Linked DNA regions of Drosophila melanogaster. The protein of the gene in region 1 interacts with the protein of each later gene in a pairwise test. Each region holds a gene or a part of one and is shown on either strand. Other genes may lie near its edges.

The links.
Region 2: the proteins of CG13398 (region 1) and Damm interact in a two-hybrid assay, tested with the Drosophila melanogaster proteins (one large-scale study listed by BioGRID).

The regions. Positions count from the first base shown.
Region 1 is NT_033779.5:8,409,460-8,418,217, reverse strand, and holds CG13398 (uncharacterized protein), read left to right. Parts: upstream 1-2,961; 5' UTR 2,962-3,257; intron 3,258-3,329; 5' UTR 3,330-3,338; coding exon 3,339-4,667; 3' UTR 4,668-6,074; downstream 6,075-8,758. Other genes in the region: Naglu (N-acetyl-alpha-glucosaminidase), read left to right, coding at 6,674-6,931, 7,011-8,758.
Region 2 is NT_033778.4:11,862,124-11,870,082, forward strand, and holds Damm (death associated molecule related to Mch2 caspase), read right to left. Parts: upstream 4,261-7,959; 5' UTR 4,232-4,260; coding exon 4,199-4,231; intron 4,133-4,198; coding exon 4,091-4,132; intron 4,041-4,090; coding exon 3,833-4,040; intron 3,783-3,832; coding exon 3,377-3,782; intron 3,299-3,376; coding exon 3,220-3,298; 3' UTR 2,667-3,219; coding exon of another isoform or gene 2,587-2,666; 3' UTR 2,535-2,586; coding exon of another isoform or gene 2,396-2,534; 3' UTR 2,332-2,395; coding exon of another isoform or gene 2,249-2,331; 3' UTR 2,184-2,248; coding exon of another isoform or gene 2,081-2,183; 3' UTR 1,989-2,080; downstream 1-1,988. Other genes in the region: Twdlbeta (tweedlebeta), read right to left, coding at 496-1,092; CG42531 (uncharacterized protein), read left to right, coding at 2,081-2,183, 2,249-2,331, 2,396-2,534, 2,587-2,666; CG13185 (uncharacterized protein), read right to left, coding at 6,021-6,197, 6,253-6,936, 6,995-7,100, 7,163-7,634, 7,696-7,822, 7,886-7,959.

The DNA.
Region 1 (8,758 bases):
TATGGGTTACTTCCAAAATGACCATGCTTACTTACACTCATTTCCAGGAAGTAGCTGCACGAGCATTGATATATAATTACTATGTTGATAAACAAAAGGCATGTTCCTGGAATCTTTCCAGTTGTCAATAACATTACATGCGTTAGTAAATAGTCGAAAATATGTTTTTCGTACATGCTTTGCCACCTTTACTGCACTAAGAAATTCTATAACCGTACGTGAACCATCTATAACTTCTTAGAATATCAAGTTTTACTGTATTGTAATTCCGGAAAAGATTTCTGTTTATTTCCAAATAGTTCGCAGTTAAATTTAAACCCTAATCGACAGCTTTAAGGCCAATTGTGCGATCGAGCATTGCTGGTTAACCGCGAATCGCACTTGACGAAACGGCATGTTTGCCCCCAGTCCCTCCACACCGTATCGCAATGCAATGTTTACTCGAGTTTGAGCAAACGTTGACAAATTCGCCAATAAAGGCGACACCAAAAAGCATTATATGTATATGCTCGTCCTCAGTGAACGACTGGCAAATATGTACACGAAATTCGAGCCGACTTCAAGGGAAAACCCGCCACAAATTCTATGGGGCGCCCTCCCCTCCTCCTTAACAATAAACCAATTTCAAAGATACATTCGGTTGGCGACCGCTACCTGAAATCGCAGCGAAATAATTCAATTTGCTCAAATTTCGGGAGTGGGGAAAATTCAGAATGCAAACTCCATTCCTAATCAAATTTTCAACAGGCAAATTGATAAGATTTTCGGAAATATTTACAGTTTTGGTGCCTAAATTGGGTCACTGACAAATAAATTTGGTCAGGTTAGAACACAAAGAAGAGCATTCATTTTCAAAGAAAAGATTTCAGTAGAGCAATCATGAAATTTCACTTGTCAAATACGTTTTACGTATTAAGTACAGTACAAATATTTAACAATAAAAGTAATTATATACTTAAGAAATATGATTGTGACAAGAACTTGAATTTAAGATCCTTGACAGAGGCTACTAAAATTTAAGGCATTAGCATTCAGCGTTGCAAGTAGATCATAAAATTCTCTTAGCAGTAGTATAAATTGCAGTTGACAATCGAAAATCTTGTGATTGCGCTTCTGCTTCTTCCTCCTCGGCCTCTGCCCACCCACTCCATTCGTAAAGGACTCACACATGCAGCGAGGCACGCACACAGGCACACTACCCCAGGCACGCAAGCACATACACCACACACACAAAGACATGTAGGCGACGCCAGTTAGGGCGGTGGCTGTCTGCCCGTCTGCGATTGAGCGATTGAACGACTGAGTGACGGACGGACGGACGAACTGACAAACCGACGCTGCAGAAAGTGCGACGCAGTTTTTCGCAACAAAAGTGTAGGAAAAACAAAAAGACGATCCTCCTCGTATCGATAATCTGAGTAAACCGAGACGCAAAAGGGATCGAAACGTATACAAAGATCAAATGGCCACAGTGGGCACTCGCTATGTGCGTGCACCTTGCACAAGGATGTTTGGCTGAGAAGGTAGAAACATGTTGGCAAGTGTAATCAGGCGTACAATGCAAACAAAGAGGAGACAACGACAATGAACCAGAAGTCAAGGCGAAGCGATGGCACAAAGGACCAGAGCGATGAGCGGGCGAGGCGAAGGAAGGCGAGGCACAAAAAGGAGAGAGCGCTAGATTGAGCCGAAGAGACAAAGAGAGAGAGAGAGAGCGAGACGGATACGGATACAAAGCCACACCGGCATGGTGTTTGCCTCTGCCGCCGTCACTGCCTGCGCTGCTGCTGCGGACGCCGACGTGGTGGCAACGCCGACGCATTGAAGGCGGCACACCCAAAAATTTTGTAAAAAGGCAACTACTCCAAGGTGGCGAAATTCGAATGCTGTATTTTGCGGGGGCGGGGTTAATGACAAAGAAAGTTCTCCTTAAATGCATAAAACTCCATTTAAATATCTCTTTTAGTCTTCGCTTCTCCCATTCTTCACCGTTCACGCACACTAAGCCGCCTTCCATGGCGTCCTTTTTCCTGCCTGTGTGTGTGAGCGTCGGCGGGCGTCTCTTTTACAAACACTTGTGCCTCAAATACAGTTACCATTTTTGAAACCAGTTAGAAACTTTTCGTCAATAACTCTTTGTCTCCTTTTCAATCACAATTCCTTTAAACAAACACGAAATTCAAAGCGGGTATAGAGAATTTCAAAAGTAGCACCACTCACGCACACACACACACGCAAGCCGTCTGCCTGCTTGGCTTTGGTTTCTTTTTCATTTATTTTTTTAAATTAACTCCTTTATGTTCTGATCTTATGACTTAAAGTGGAATTTACCTGGCTCGATTCTCTCGGTTTCGGTTTAAAAACACACGCACTTGCTTCTTTCTTTGCTTTGCGATTCTACACTGGCAGCAGCTCTTTTTGCCTGCTTTCCGTTTCGGTTTCTTTTCTCGTTCTTGTTGCGCGCTCCACAAATAAAAAATGTCCGCTCGGGTCTGGTATTTACGTCGCGTTAGGATGTTTTCGCAGTTAGAACGCGTTAGGGCTTCGGGTCTAGTTATAGTGCTGTCCACAAAGTTGATGTTCCGCCAAATGGTTAACCATACAATTAAGATGACTAAAATGCCTTAACTTAAAATTTTTTTATAAATTATATTTGTTTACATCTGAATCCTATTTATTACTTGTTAATTGCAGTAAACATTTGCAGAAACGTAAAAATTACGACGTAAGAAATCTTCAAGATTATTCTATTAAACGAGAGAAAACTTCTATTAAGCTGACATTTGCAATATTTTTCTATAAATTTTGAAATATTAATATTTCCTTGGCTTAAACTTGGCTAAACTAGTTTTTCATTCTTTAAGTGTAATTACTTGTAATTTGTCTTTGATTTTCCGTTTACTTTTTTAAAAAGCGTTTCTTGTAAGTCTTTTTGCGAAAATCAAGTTAGCATGCCCGTTGCTCACAATTGCGTTCTGTCGGGCGAGGGGAAAAGTCGCAGAAGAAATTTTATACCACAAGAACGGAATTTCCGTGGCCAAATAACAACAATCAGCCAGCAGTCCCGTCGATCAGGAGTTAACCAAAGCAGGAGGAGTCAACCAGGATAACAGCAACACAATTCGACTGCACCCCAGAGCCTCCAGTTCCACTGGGTAGCTGATTTCAGCTGGTGGAGGCGGTGGGTGGTGCTCTTATCGGCCTGCGATTTCTTCCATGCCCGCTGCGATAACAGCCAGGCGGACTTGCCTGTCCAGGTGTGCATTTCAATAGGCACTGTACATGACTGGAGTGGATAATCCTTCAATGCATAATACTCCGTCTTTCAGTGCAACACCATGGGCTGCATCACCAGCAGCAGCAAGTTAAATGAGCTGCGCGGTCATGAGAATGTGTTTCGAGTGCGAGTGGCTCACCTGCAACCCACCCCGGGTACGCCCATCATCCGGAGTGGCTACCTGGAGCTAACGCCCCGGGAACTAATATTCCAGTCGCCTGGCTGTGAGCCCATTGTCTGGGCACTGCAACACCTCCGACGTTATGGGTTGAATAACGATCTCTTCTCCTTCGAAGCAGGACGTAGGTGTATGTCTGGGCCAGGGATCTACACGTTTCGAGTCCACAATGCCGAGCAGCTGTATCCGATGTTTCAGCGCTACATCAACGCGGTGAATACAGATGCCTTTGTGCAGGGCGAACGAGAAAGGGTTAACTCCGCTCATTCGGTGTCCGTAAATATGGGCCGTACTGAGGGCAATAACTATCTAGAGCCGGCTCCCCTAATGAGCCGCCAGTTGGGCAACTTCCACAGTGAGCCCTCGAGCACAAGTGCATCGTATCCGCTGCAGGCCAACGATTCGCAAGTCGATGACTCTCCGCCCAATTTGCAATCACCAGTCCTGATACCCAGTGCCTATTTGGATCAGCCATTGCGGGCTTTGCAGGACTGTTGTCTGGAAGGCACCGCCTCGGATTTGCTTTCCACCCCGCCCTCCGGCAATAGGTTGACATCACGTAGGCGCACGATGGACTTGCCACCTCTGGAATCGGCCCCAGCACCAGCTCCAGTTCTGAGTCCCAACGATGCTGTGCACATGTACGCCAATGTGGAAGCTCTGATCTTTGATCTGAACAATGAGCGCTGCTATGAGAACGTAAATCGCTTGGAGCTCCCTCTGCTGCCGAGGGAACCAATTTCCAATCAAGAGCCGGCCACGCCCACCAGCTTAGCGGGCAGCTGCGGAGTAAACTATATAGTGCTGGATCTTGATCAGCCGCGAAGTCCCGTGGGACCGGCGGGTTCATCAAAGGCGATCAATGGATTTGGCAGCGGCTTATCACTGATCTCCACCCCAGCAGCTGTCACCGCACCAGTAACTCCAGAGGCAGGTACTACGTTGGACGTTCCCCCACCGCCCATGCAGACCCAAAGCCTGAATAGCATCTCTGCTGATACGGGAGATACGCAGGCGAAGAAGGTAACAGAATGCTCCGGGACACAAGGCTATTCAACCATCGACTTCATCCGCACATACGCGTTGAACAAGTCTTCGACTGAACTGCCAGAAACAGTGACGCATCGACAGCATTCGTCGCACGATGCCGAGGAGCTGAGAATCACCAGGCACAGCAAGTGCATACGAAAGGCTTACTCCATAAGTGAGTGAATTGGAGGCAGCAGGAATAGGATTGGTGGAGGAGACCGCGAGTGCACAACGAATTTACAGAAAGCATAATGGACACCAGATCGCTGGCGAAATGGATCTAACCCCACATTTATTTGTGCCAAATCTGAGTACCAAAAAGATGTAAGGAGCTTTTGAAAGAAAAATCATAATGCCGGGAAGTAAAGAGGACAACAGATCACGAAGAAAGGAAAAACAGCCAGATCGGAAAGAGTACAAAAGTAAAAGAACAGTGGCCACAAGATTTGTTAGGTCCTAATTGTTAAATGCTCGATTTAAAGTAAACCAACTAAAGTGACCAACTGACCAACTATGAAGATGAAAGCGTATAAAAACACATGCTGTGCAACTTAAAAGTTGAGCAGATCAAATGGATAGCTTGTTAAAAAATATCGAGATTAACTACTAAAATTAACCACACATGGGATCAAACAGGATTTTATTGATACAGCATACAATATTTTAATGTTTCCAAATGACGTTTTAACTTTTTTGCCCACAAATTTTCGTGATGCTGTTACTTTTGATTTTGAAAAGCATACTTAAGAAGGAGCTAAGTAACTTTCCTACTATTTTCAATGGATTTTCAAGGGAATATGATAAAATTGAAATGGATCTCTCTCGGATTGGGGAGTAAAAAGCTATGGAGGTTGAAAAGAACGTGTTGCACAACGAATTTACTGCACGAGATTGTGGTAAAGTGAAATTTGAAGAGTGATTTGTCCAAAGATATGTTTGCTTCCAACTGCGCCAAGCTAAAACGCAAACGATTAACAATATTATAACCAGGTTGTTTTTTGTAGTCAGTACAGTAAACTCACACAGCCAAAAAACCAAAACACATAGACATGAATTGCATACGTACATAACTTGTATTTAAGGATATTAACAATAGCATTACTTAGCGATTAGTTGATTTGTGTAATTGCCAGCGGCTGTTTAGAGCTAGTCATTTTTGATTTTGTGCATATAAAATAGTGAGCAACACGAAAGGCTTTTAACATTAAAATTGTACATGGTAGATATGGTAAGAGTAGCTCATAAGCACCAGAAGATACATCATCGACGTACACGTACGTTTGTTGTTGGCCAAGGCTTTGAAATTGTATTCTGTTGCCAAACAAAAAAAAAAAAAAAAAAACAATGGTAGAAAGCATCGCGTTGCATTGTCCGCTGTGAGTTTATAATTTTTTACATATATATATCGCTGAATTGTTATTCAATTTGTTAGGAGTTATATACACTGAGCATTCATCGTTTCACACGAACGAGAAGAAATGAATGTTCTTTCGTTTACATGTACTTAAAATCGCTGCTTAGTCGGCGGCATAAACTAAATTATTGTTAGTGTCTAAGACGAAATACGTGCAATAAAGCTCAAATGACCCTGTATATATACTATATATTTTTTGATATTTTCCGAGATATATGGATTTGCCTTGCGATTTTCAGTTAATTTCTTAACAAATGCATTATAACACGGATTACAATATAAGGATATCGACGAAGACCAACATTTAAATACCATTCTAAATTGTATAGTTTCCAAAATCTGACGTTCTTTGTTTTTTGTTGCATAAATATCAAACAATTATTTTAGTTGATAATATATTTTTTACCTTTTCATTGCTTACCAATTAATTTTAAATCAGAACTTAATATTATTTTTAAAACTCAATAAGGGAAAAATTGATCTACAAACTTCTTATCAAAGTTGTAATATACTCTTAGTGAGTGTATCCGATGATCCCTCGCATTTCAGAACTCTACTGCGTCATTGTTCAATCTGGCGATAAGAAGAAAGTGATCGGAATCCAGCTGCTCTTCTCTTCCATTGTGTTCTCATCGGGTTCACTTAGCGCTCTTTCCTCCGTTCCCGCATTCTTCGGGAGAGCCCCAATTGCGAGAGAAGGAGAAGCTGTCAGTCAGTCAGTCACTTGGGCCCCGTTGACATTGACACACACGGCAGTAAATAGACGGACGGAGAAATGCAGCTGAATTGGAAGCTGGCCTTGGCCTTGCTAGCGGTGCTTTGCCTGCAACTCGCGCAGGGATCAGAACTTAACTGGGATGCGGCTTCAGGTCCTGAAATGGGACTCCAAATGGCTGCCCACTTGGCACCCAGCACACCCAAAGATGTCCAGGAAACCGCAGCCATGGCGGTAATCAGTAGAGTAATCGGCGAACGATCTTCTCAATTGTTTAAGGTGCAAGTCAATAAAAATATGGATTTACGAAGCTTTCAGGTAATAATATTTATTTATTAAGTATTTACTTTTAAGTAAATAAACAATACAAATGTTTCAATCTTTAAATACCTTACAGATTAGCATGTTGGATGATGGCCGGATTCTGCTGATGGGATGGGATGGTGTTTCCGTGTGCAAGGCCCTCCATCACTACCTCAAATATGTTTTAAACAAGGACGTGGATTGGTTCAAGATGCGCATTGAGTTGCCCACCAATTTGCAGCTGCCCAATGTGACCATCGAGTCCAAGTCAGCAAGCCCGATTATCTATCACCAGAACGTGTGCACTTGGAGCTATAGCTTTGCATGGTGGGGCATTGAGCAGTGGCGCCGTCACCTGGACTGGATGGCCCTGATGGGCATCAGTCTGACTATTGCGCCGGTCCAGGAAGCCATTTGGGTGAAGGTGTACACGGATATGGGCCTCAGGATGGAGGAAATCGACGAGCATCTGGCTGGACCAGCTTTTCAGGCCTGGCAGCGCATGGGCAACATACGGGGATGGGCGGGACCACTGACACCGGCATGGCGACGCTATCAATTACTCCTCCAGCAGGAGATTATCACTGCCCAACGCAATCTGGGCATGAGCGTGGCCTTGCCCGCCTTTGCTGGTCATGTGCCACGTGCTCTGAAGCGTCTGAATCCCGAATCGACGTTCATGGAAGTGCAGCGATGGAACCAGTTCCCCGATCGATACTGCTGCGGTTTATTTGTGGAACCCACGGAGAATCTTTTCAAGGAGATAGCCTCGCGTTTTTTGCATAATATCATTACGAAATATGGTTCGAATCACATCTTCTTCTGCGATCCCTTCAACGAACTGGAGCCACCGGTAGCCAAGCCGGAATACATGCGTTCAACGGCGGCGGCGATTTATGAATCTATGCGCGGCATTGATCCTCAGGCCATTTGGTTGCTTCAGGGCTGGATGTTCGTGAAGAATCCCTTTTGGACCACGGACATGGCTGAAGCTTTCCTCACGGCCGCACCACGTGGTCGCATTTTGGTGCTCGATCTGCAGAGCGAACAGTTTCCGCAATACGAGCTAACGCGCTCCTACTTTGGGCAGCCCTTTATATGGTGCATGCTTCACAATTTCGGCGGCACACTTGGAATGTTTGGATCAGCGAAGCTGATAAATTCCGGAATAGAAGAGGCGCGTCGCTTGCCCAACAGCAGTTTGGTGGGCACGGGAATCACACCCGAGGGCATTGGCCAGAACTATGTGATGTATTCGTTCACCTTGGAGCGCGGCTGGAGTAATACATCCCTAGATCTGGATAGCTGGTTTACGAATTTCTCACACAGCCGGTATGGCGTTAAGGATGAGCGTTTGGAGCAGGCGTGGCTGCTCCTAAAGAATAGCGTCTATTCCTTCCGTGGTCTGCAGAAAATGCGGGGACAGTATGTAGTGACGCGCAGGCCTTCCTTCAACCAAGAACCCTTCACTTGGTACAATGCAAGTGCAGTGCTGGATGCCTGGCACTTGTTGCTGACCTTCAGAGCCATCATACCGCTAGAGGATAACAGATACGAGATATACGAACACGATTTGGTGGACATAACCAGGCAATTCCTGCAGATCAGCGCAGATCAGTTGTATATCAATCTAAGGTCGGCCTATAGAAAGCGACAGGTTTCGCGTTTCGAATTCCTTAGCGTCAAGCTGTTGAAACTGTTCGATGACATGGAGCTGATCCTGGCGAGCAGCAGGAATTTTCTGCTCGGCAACTGGCTGCAGCAGGCCAAGCAAGCGGCACCGAACACTGGGCAACAAAGAAACTTCGAATTCAATGCGAGAAACCAAATTACCGCCTGGGG
Region 2 (7,959 bases), on another chromosome or scaffold:
GCTTTACATACATTTTTAACAATTTTAAGGGAAATCCATGTTGTAATCCATTGTTCAATGCGCTTTTGCAATCTTGACCTAAGTAACCAAATAAACAAATTGAAAGTTGAATATTGTATTCGACGTTAATAACGAGTAATGCATAATTGAGCAATATAAATTATTGCTTTCCCAATTATCGGTACCCAATAACTTGCGCAGTAACCTCATTTGTATTCAATGCGTGCTCCTGGTAAATAAAAAAAATATCGAGTGCCTTTGTTAAGATGCACTGATTGATGATCGTATCTCAAGATTTCTGGATCCGCAACGAATGGAGCGCTCATGACTTCAAGGTAGTAATATGAAATACTGTAACCGCTATAATAATTTTTTCATCAATATCCCAAGGACTTTAAGATCCGGCTGATTTTGCTTTCTCTAAACTCTCTTTAATGGCAGCGATCATAAATAATATTTACATTCATGGGCTGTAGACCTAGACGACACTACAAACTAGAACTGCTCGACGGTGCGGGGGGCAGGTGGTGCTCCGTACTCCTCGGATGGGGCGGACGGTGGTGGGCCGTACTGGGTGGCCGGCTTGGCCTGCTGCTGCTTATACTTGATGAAGTAGACCTCTGGCTTGCTGGGCTCTGTGGGCTCTGGAGCGGGCAGGATGACGGGCTGCTGCTCCTCGGGCTTCTTGACCAGAACATACACAAGGGTCTTGTGCTCATCCTGGACCGGAGGAGGGAGCACCTGGCGCACAGGGGTCGGAGGGTTGGGCGCCTTGATGAAGATGATCTTGTAGTGCTTCTTGGGAACGGCCGTCTGGATGGGCGACGAGGCCGGATAGAACTCTGGCTCCTCTGGCGGCACATGCACGTACACGTTCTTGGTCACGAGCGCCTCCGAGGCGGCTGGTGGTCCGTAGAAGGCGGCTGGTGGTCCGTAAACGGGTAGAGGCTGTGCTGCCGGGGCCGGAGGACCGTATTCCTTTTGGGGAGCCGGCGGTGGCGGCGGTCCGTAACGCGATCTAGGTGGTTCCGGACGCGCCACACATATGGCCAGACTGGCGGCCAAGAGAAGGAGGATACACTGCGTCTGCATGCTGATGTCGATGGTTCGGCTGCGAATGAAGCTACTGCTGCAGGTCAATCGAGTGTTTTATATGAATCCGCCACCTCAGCAATGCGTAGCTCCCCCGCCCTTGCATAATATTTCCGATGGCTTCCCAATCGCGTTACGCGCAGCTCTTCAATCCCCGCCAGCAATGCGCGATGCATACAAATTAGCTGGCGCACTGTGCCCATTTCGATTTCGTTTTCGATGCCCAGTGTGGACATAGATTCCGTTTCCGATTCGGGTTCGTATCCGAAATTCGGCTGATGAAAACGAAACTGAAAACTGCACAGGCAAACCAGATCAAAGGGAGGGGCCCGTCGTCGTCACGTTCTGTTTTTGGGTCTTCCCGGCCCCTTTTCGGCCAATATTTGCCAAAAGCATTCGCCTTAATGCTCGATTGCGATGTTCACTTGTAATTTATTATGTAACTCGCACATTGCATTGGTCGGCCAGGGACGGTCATTGGGTTCCATGATCTACACTAAGGTATTTATGGGGCGCCAACTTCATAAAGAGGTTACTAACCCGCGAACAAGAAGTAACCAAATGTGAAATAATGAAAATTAAATTCATTTCTGACATGTAGAATCAACAAGCATTATTTCGGTAAATTATCTACTTATTTTAACGCTGGCAGTCCCAAGTGATATTCGAGTAGTATAAGCACACAATGTGCTTTTTAGCTTAAAAACCCCCAACTCGAAATGAAAGTCATAATGCACTGAAACCAATGCGACTGGAATATTCGCAATTCGCTCACAATATGTCATGATAATACGTATTTAATAGATAAGTAACAGATACGTAGCTTCTATTATTTGGCAAACTCTATAAGAACGGTTTGTTCCCATGTCTTACGTTTTTTTTTTTTTTTTTTTTTTAACAGTACTAGTTGTAATATAAACTGTGGTTCTCTGACAGTAGCTCTGCTTTTCTAATCAGTTTATGGAGTTGTCTAGATAAAAATTGTAAAATGGTGAAAAAATGCTGTTTCTGCATTAAATTGCGCAGAGCCTGCATCATCATAGCCATCGTGGACTTCATCATTAACTTAGTGGTGCTTAACTTGGCGGGTCGTAAGTTTGGGGCTGGCAGATCCATTTAAATGATCACCCTGGTAATGCATCCCACCTTCATCTAGAGGAGTTCATCGCACACATTGAGCAAGCGGTGGCAATCTGCCATTGTATCGGCTGCACATTCCTGCTGGGCGGAGCTTTAATCGTAAGTGCAGCCACTGTTTGGCACCCACTGCAGCCGATCCCATCTCCAAGCTAAACCACTATAGAGATCAACTGTTCTCCTGATGTTCTTCCTGATCACTAGCCTGACCAACTGTATGATCCTGTTTGTGTACTGCATCTACATGCTGATTAAGGAGGAGCGGTACCGCGAGATAATAGTCCCAGGATCTGCAATATATATATGTAAGTTGTTATTTTTGTGAGTTACTGCATCCTTAAAGAACATCCTTTTCAGGCTGTGGTATCTACTTCTGGATTGTCGTCTACTCGTATTATGTCGAAGTCAGAGATCCCGAAGACGTCCTGGAAGTTTAACAGCTTACGCAGAAAGAATAAAATTGCCTTGTGGGTCTGGATTGTGCTATCTGTTTTTCTAGGTGCTTATGATCTCAATAGTATTTAAGTTAATTGTAAAATTCATTCATGATTTTTTGGTGAACTCAAATAAAATTGAGATTATCCCTAGCAAATCGGATTCGAAATTAAAAATATTATAAAAAAAAATCTATTGTACAGTACTTTTTACAATCAACCATGTCAGAGCTTTGTAAATTCCAGGTGCGCTTCGTCACTAAGTTGACTGCCGTCCACAGATATATTTTGTATATTGGTAAATAAAGTTTGATAAATAGGTAAGCGCGTTATAATGCCTACCCACTTGCTTACCCACTTCCTTGAACACTTAACATTATCTCCGGGTTCCGCTTCGATTGATTTATTTAAAGATAAGATATCAACACAGTAAATTACAGTTTGACAAAGTGAAAGTAAATATATGGATCAGTTGAATCTGTCATTTAACTTTACTCTGACCAGAAAGTATCTTAAATATATTTTAAAGAAATTCTTTAATATATAACTCAACTCATTAAGTGTTTTTAGCATAATTTCCAAAATAAAAGGGTTTGTCGAAGTTGTGCGACTCCTCAGAAGGAACTTGTTTCGAACTGAAAAACAGAGAAAAGCAGGAAGTACATCATATAGTTACATCCTGTTGCCACACTGCTTATCCTAGTAAAACTTACCCTGTCATAGTTGACCTTCGTTCGACCTCAGCCTTAACATGCTTAAAGATCGACTGAAAGTCCCTGGTAAGGCCATATTGGTCCATTGCCTCGCACAAGGTTTGTATGAAAACCGAACCATGATTTTCATTGCGATAGCTCAAATAGCCCTCGGAGCAGCTGTAACACTTAATATAGGGTTCGTTGTTCATTTTTTTCGCGTCAGCTCTCAACGGACCCTTGCAGGCTTGAACAATTAAAATTTTTGGCTTGCCAGATAAGGTTGGATTTCTAAAGAGGGGAAAAAGGACGTCATCGTCCAAGTGGTATTCCCTGTGGTCGCATGCCAAGATTTTCTCTTTTCGGTCGCCATGGCTCAAGATAAAGAGGACAAATCCAGCGTCCTGGGTGAATCGTTTTGCAGACCCTTGAAGAAATTCGTTACTAAGAATAAAACCGTTTGCTCATATTTCTTACACTCCTTCACTTTGTTTTTAACGTCCGGCAACGCTGGGTTAGAAATAACTTCAACTCGACATTTTAGGCTTTCGAATGTTTTGCGAAGAGCATTGACATCATTTGAGCTACCCTTTCTGTTCAATTGAGAATCCTGAGGGAACTGCTCATGATTCAGAATGTACACGGCTGGCGGCTTTAGTTTTTCATTTAAATCAAGGCCTTGACCCTAAGGAAAATTCAATGGATGATTTGTGATTTTCTTCAATTTATACTTACTGGTTCAGCGTTGACCCTGTTGCTGTCATATAGTCTCTCAATCTGTATCAATGGATTTTTCGTAAAGACCATTAAGTTTCTTAAAATAATAATAATAACAATACGTACTTTTTGATGTTCTGTTCTTTCGGGCAGATACATGTTTACTGTTCGGCGATATAACGTTAACTGAGTAATGCACAAAAGCAAGTGCAATATTTGTTGTCTTATCAGTCACTATCTGGCCAGCTATATAGCCAACATCCGGATTTGTTCATCGACAAAAAAAGTACAAATTGAGTTACTATTTTCCGATTAAAACTTCCTTTACTGACCTTCTGACTTTATCTACCCGCCACTCGTAGAATAGAAGATAACTCGTCAACAGGCTGTCTTGCCTGTCTTTTGCTGTCTTTTCTCCCGTTGACTCTTTTGGGTTTTCACCACCGACTTCATCTGTGCAAATGTTAAAAGCACAGCCAATTAATTAAGTAAGTAGGTTAATTAAGTAATAAAGTAGGGTAAGAGGGTATAAAAAGGCAACAATCGGCAATACCTTTATAATCGGGAAATAACAATAAACACCCAAGTTGTACTTGCATTTGTCGATGAATATGATTGTGCCATAAATCTAATACGGGCCTTTATGTATTACTCAGTTAAATTTAGATCGGGGAACAAGAAACATGGATCTTTTTCAAGGAATTGAACATCAAAAAGTACGTATTGCTACAAATTGACAGACTATATGATTTAATCAAAAAACTTAAGCCTCCAATTGTGTACATTCTCAACATGAGGAGTTCCCTCAGGATTCTCAATTGAACAAAAGGGGTAGCTCAAATGATGCCAATGCTCTTCGCAAGACATTTGAAAGCCTAAAATGTCCTGTTGAAGTAATTTCTAATCCAGCTTTGGCGGTCGTTAGAAACAAAGTGAAGGAGTGTAAGAAATATGAGCAAACGGTTTTATTCTTAGTAACGAATTTCTTTAAGGGTCTGAAAAACAATTCACCCAGGAGGCTGGATTTATCCTCCTAATCTTGAGCAACAACGAACCCTATTTGAGCTATCGCAATGAAAATCATGGTTCGTTTTTCATACGAACTTTGTGCGAGGCAATGGACCAATATGGCCTTACCAGGGACTTTCGGTCGATCTTTAAGCATGTTGAGTCTGAGGTCGTACGAAGGTCAACTAAGACAGGATAAGTTTTACTAGGATAAGCAGTGTGGCAGCAGGATGTAACTATATGGTGTACTACCAGCTTTTCTCTGTTTTTCAGTTCGAAACAAGTTTGTTCTGAGGAGTTGCACAACTTCGATAAGCCCTTTTATTTTGGAAATTATGTTAAAAACGCTTAATGAGTTATAAACCTATTTCTTTAAAATAAAACCAAGTTACTTTCTGGTCTGTGTAATGTAAAACGACCGATTCAACTGCATACAGCTATATGATCTATAGATAGATAGATATAGATATATTGGTCAAACTGGAATTTATTGTTTACCTTATAGTTGACTAGTAGTACTTGGCTAAGTTCAATTTATTAATTCTACCTATCATTTACCCAACATACTTCAGGTGTAATACTTACCTTCATGTTATATACTCGTAGTTTGCTATCCGAAACTTTTTTTACAGCTTTTCACAACAATGATTGAAGATCAAGGCCCAGTGCGATAACGATATAAGCACCTTAGAATCGTTTAATGTTTATATAATCTAACTTTATACTGTTTACAAAAGTTTAATTGTAAAAAATAAAAAAAGTAACAATTTCAAGTAAATTATAAAAGCATTAGTGAACAATCGTACACTCGGTCACATTTTCAGTTTGTACAAGTTAATATTTACATGTGAAATATAACTAAGTGGGCTAAATATTCAAGCCTGTATTAATATTAATAAGTAAAAGTCACTTCTTTTTATCTCAAGAGTAAATGCAATGATTACTCGCTGTTAACCAACTCGAACCATTGTCTCATGGCTTCGCTGAGCACCAGCGGCAGCTGGTTAAGGTCCCGGACTATCACATAGTACGGAAAAGGAAAACTGTCCAGGTAGGAATTAATGTTCACTGATCCATCTGCGTTCACCGCCACATGTTGTATGTCCAGAATTGAGTTCTAAAGGTAGCCAAGGATTAGTTAAACTCATTGAATGTTCTTGAAAACCCATTACCTTATTGTCTGGATTATCGATAATGATGTATACCAGGAAGATGCGCTGCAGACGCGCCAACTTAATGGCGTTCTTTACGTTCTGTGCACCTTCGCTGAATATATTACGTCCATCGCTGAGAATGAGCAAAAGGTTTTCAAACAGACCATTATCGCCCCCCGTGCCACTCTCTTCTGCATTTGCCGTGCGTATAAAGTTCAGCAGCCCGGCGATCTTTGTCTTGTCCTGAGCGAAGTTCAGAGCATTTACCAAGCGGGGACCGTCAAACTGCTCCGTGTGATTTAGTATGATCTGCGGCGCCTCCCCAAAAGATACAATGCTAAGACGACCACTCTCTAGAAGGGTTAGCGCCTGCGACACAAGCGAGATTGCCTCCAGAGTCAGCGTCTTGGAGTTGTTGTGGTGCATCGACTTGGAGTCATCAATGGCAATGGTGATCTTATAGTCACGCTGCGCAGGCTTGGTTCGTCGCAACCAGATCTTGTCCTTGCGGAACTGCGAGGCGATGTATGGAATAATTTTTTTCATATTAATACGTCTTCCAGTGCGGTAGTCGCCCTTTAACCGTGTGCACTTCGTGGGCTCCAGAATAAGACGCAACTGTTCGCAAAGCTCACGGGCATTCTGGGTCATTCTATTGGAGATGCCCTGCCATGTTTCGTAATCCTCGTGCTCCGGCTGTGCCTGTAAGTAACAAATAAGTAACAGGTACGGCTAATTTATTATGAAAGGTGCAACTTACTACTCTGAATGTGGTCAACTGCTTTTGGTACTGTTGCCTAAGCTCAATTTGTTCGGCTGAGCTCAGATCCTCCGCGTGTGAGCTCTTATCCAGAAGGATTTCGGAACTGTTGAATAAAAAAAAAACTATTAAAATAAAAAAGCGGTAAACAATGGATATATTACTCACTTGCTATGCGCAGTAGTCTCCGAGCTACGAGGAACCGTCATAGTCAGCACCACCTCCCCTTCTATCTCCATTCCTTCAGGGGTCTCCAACTGCTCCTTAGACTTTTCTGTTTTAGAGGGTTTGTCGGACTTTTGCTCCGTCTTCTCAGCCCCCAGTTGCTCGAGTTCAGCATCATCTTCCGGATCAACGGCTGGCTCTTCGGCCTCCATTAACTCGTCAACATTTTCCGCCTCTATTTCCTCTTCGTTTGGTGGCTCATCCTCCTGATGCTGGATCTTCTTTGATTGTTCTTCGGTAGCATTGTCCAACGTGGTTTTGTCGCTGTTTTTCGGCTCTTTTACATGCTGGTACTCCTCAGCCTCCGTCTGGTCCATGGGTTCCGGTTTCTCCTGCTCGGCATCGTCGGATTCCTTTGAGTCCTTCAGTTGATCAATTGTCTTTAGCTGTTTCAATTTGTTCTGCTCCGCCTCACCTGCAAATGTTTATTGAGAAATTTATAGAATAGGCTTTAATATTTGAAAGGTCTATTTTACCTAGGGATCGCTCCTCATTGGTTCTTCCCTGCTTGCGCTTCTCCTGAGTTTGCCTTTCGTTTTTACGATCCTCCTGTGACACAGTTTCCTGAGTTTCCGCTACGCCTTGATGGCCGCCATCGTCGGCCTGCGATATTGGATAAATTAATATGATATAAATATATAATGTACAATGAAAACTAAAACTAACGTCGTTCTCGGCCTGGCCGACTCCATCCTTCTCTTCACCAGTCTCTTGTTCATCAAGCTTCTGGTCTTGCTTAA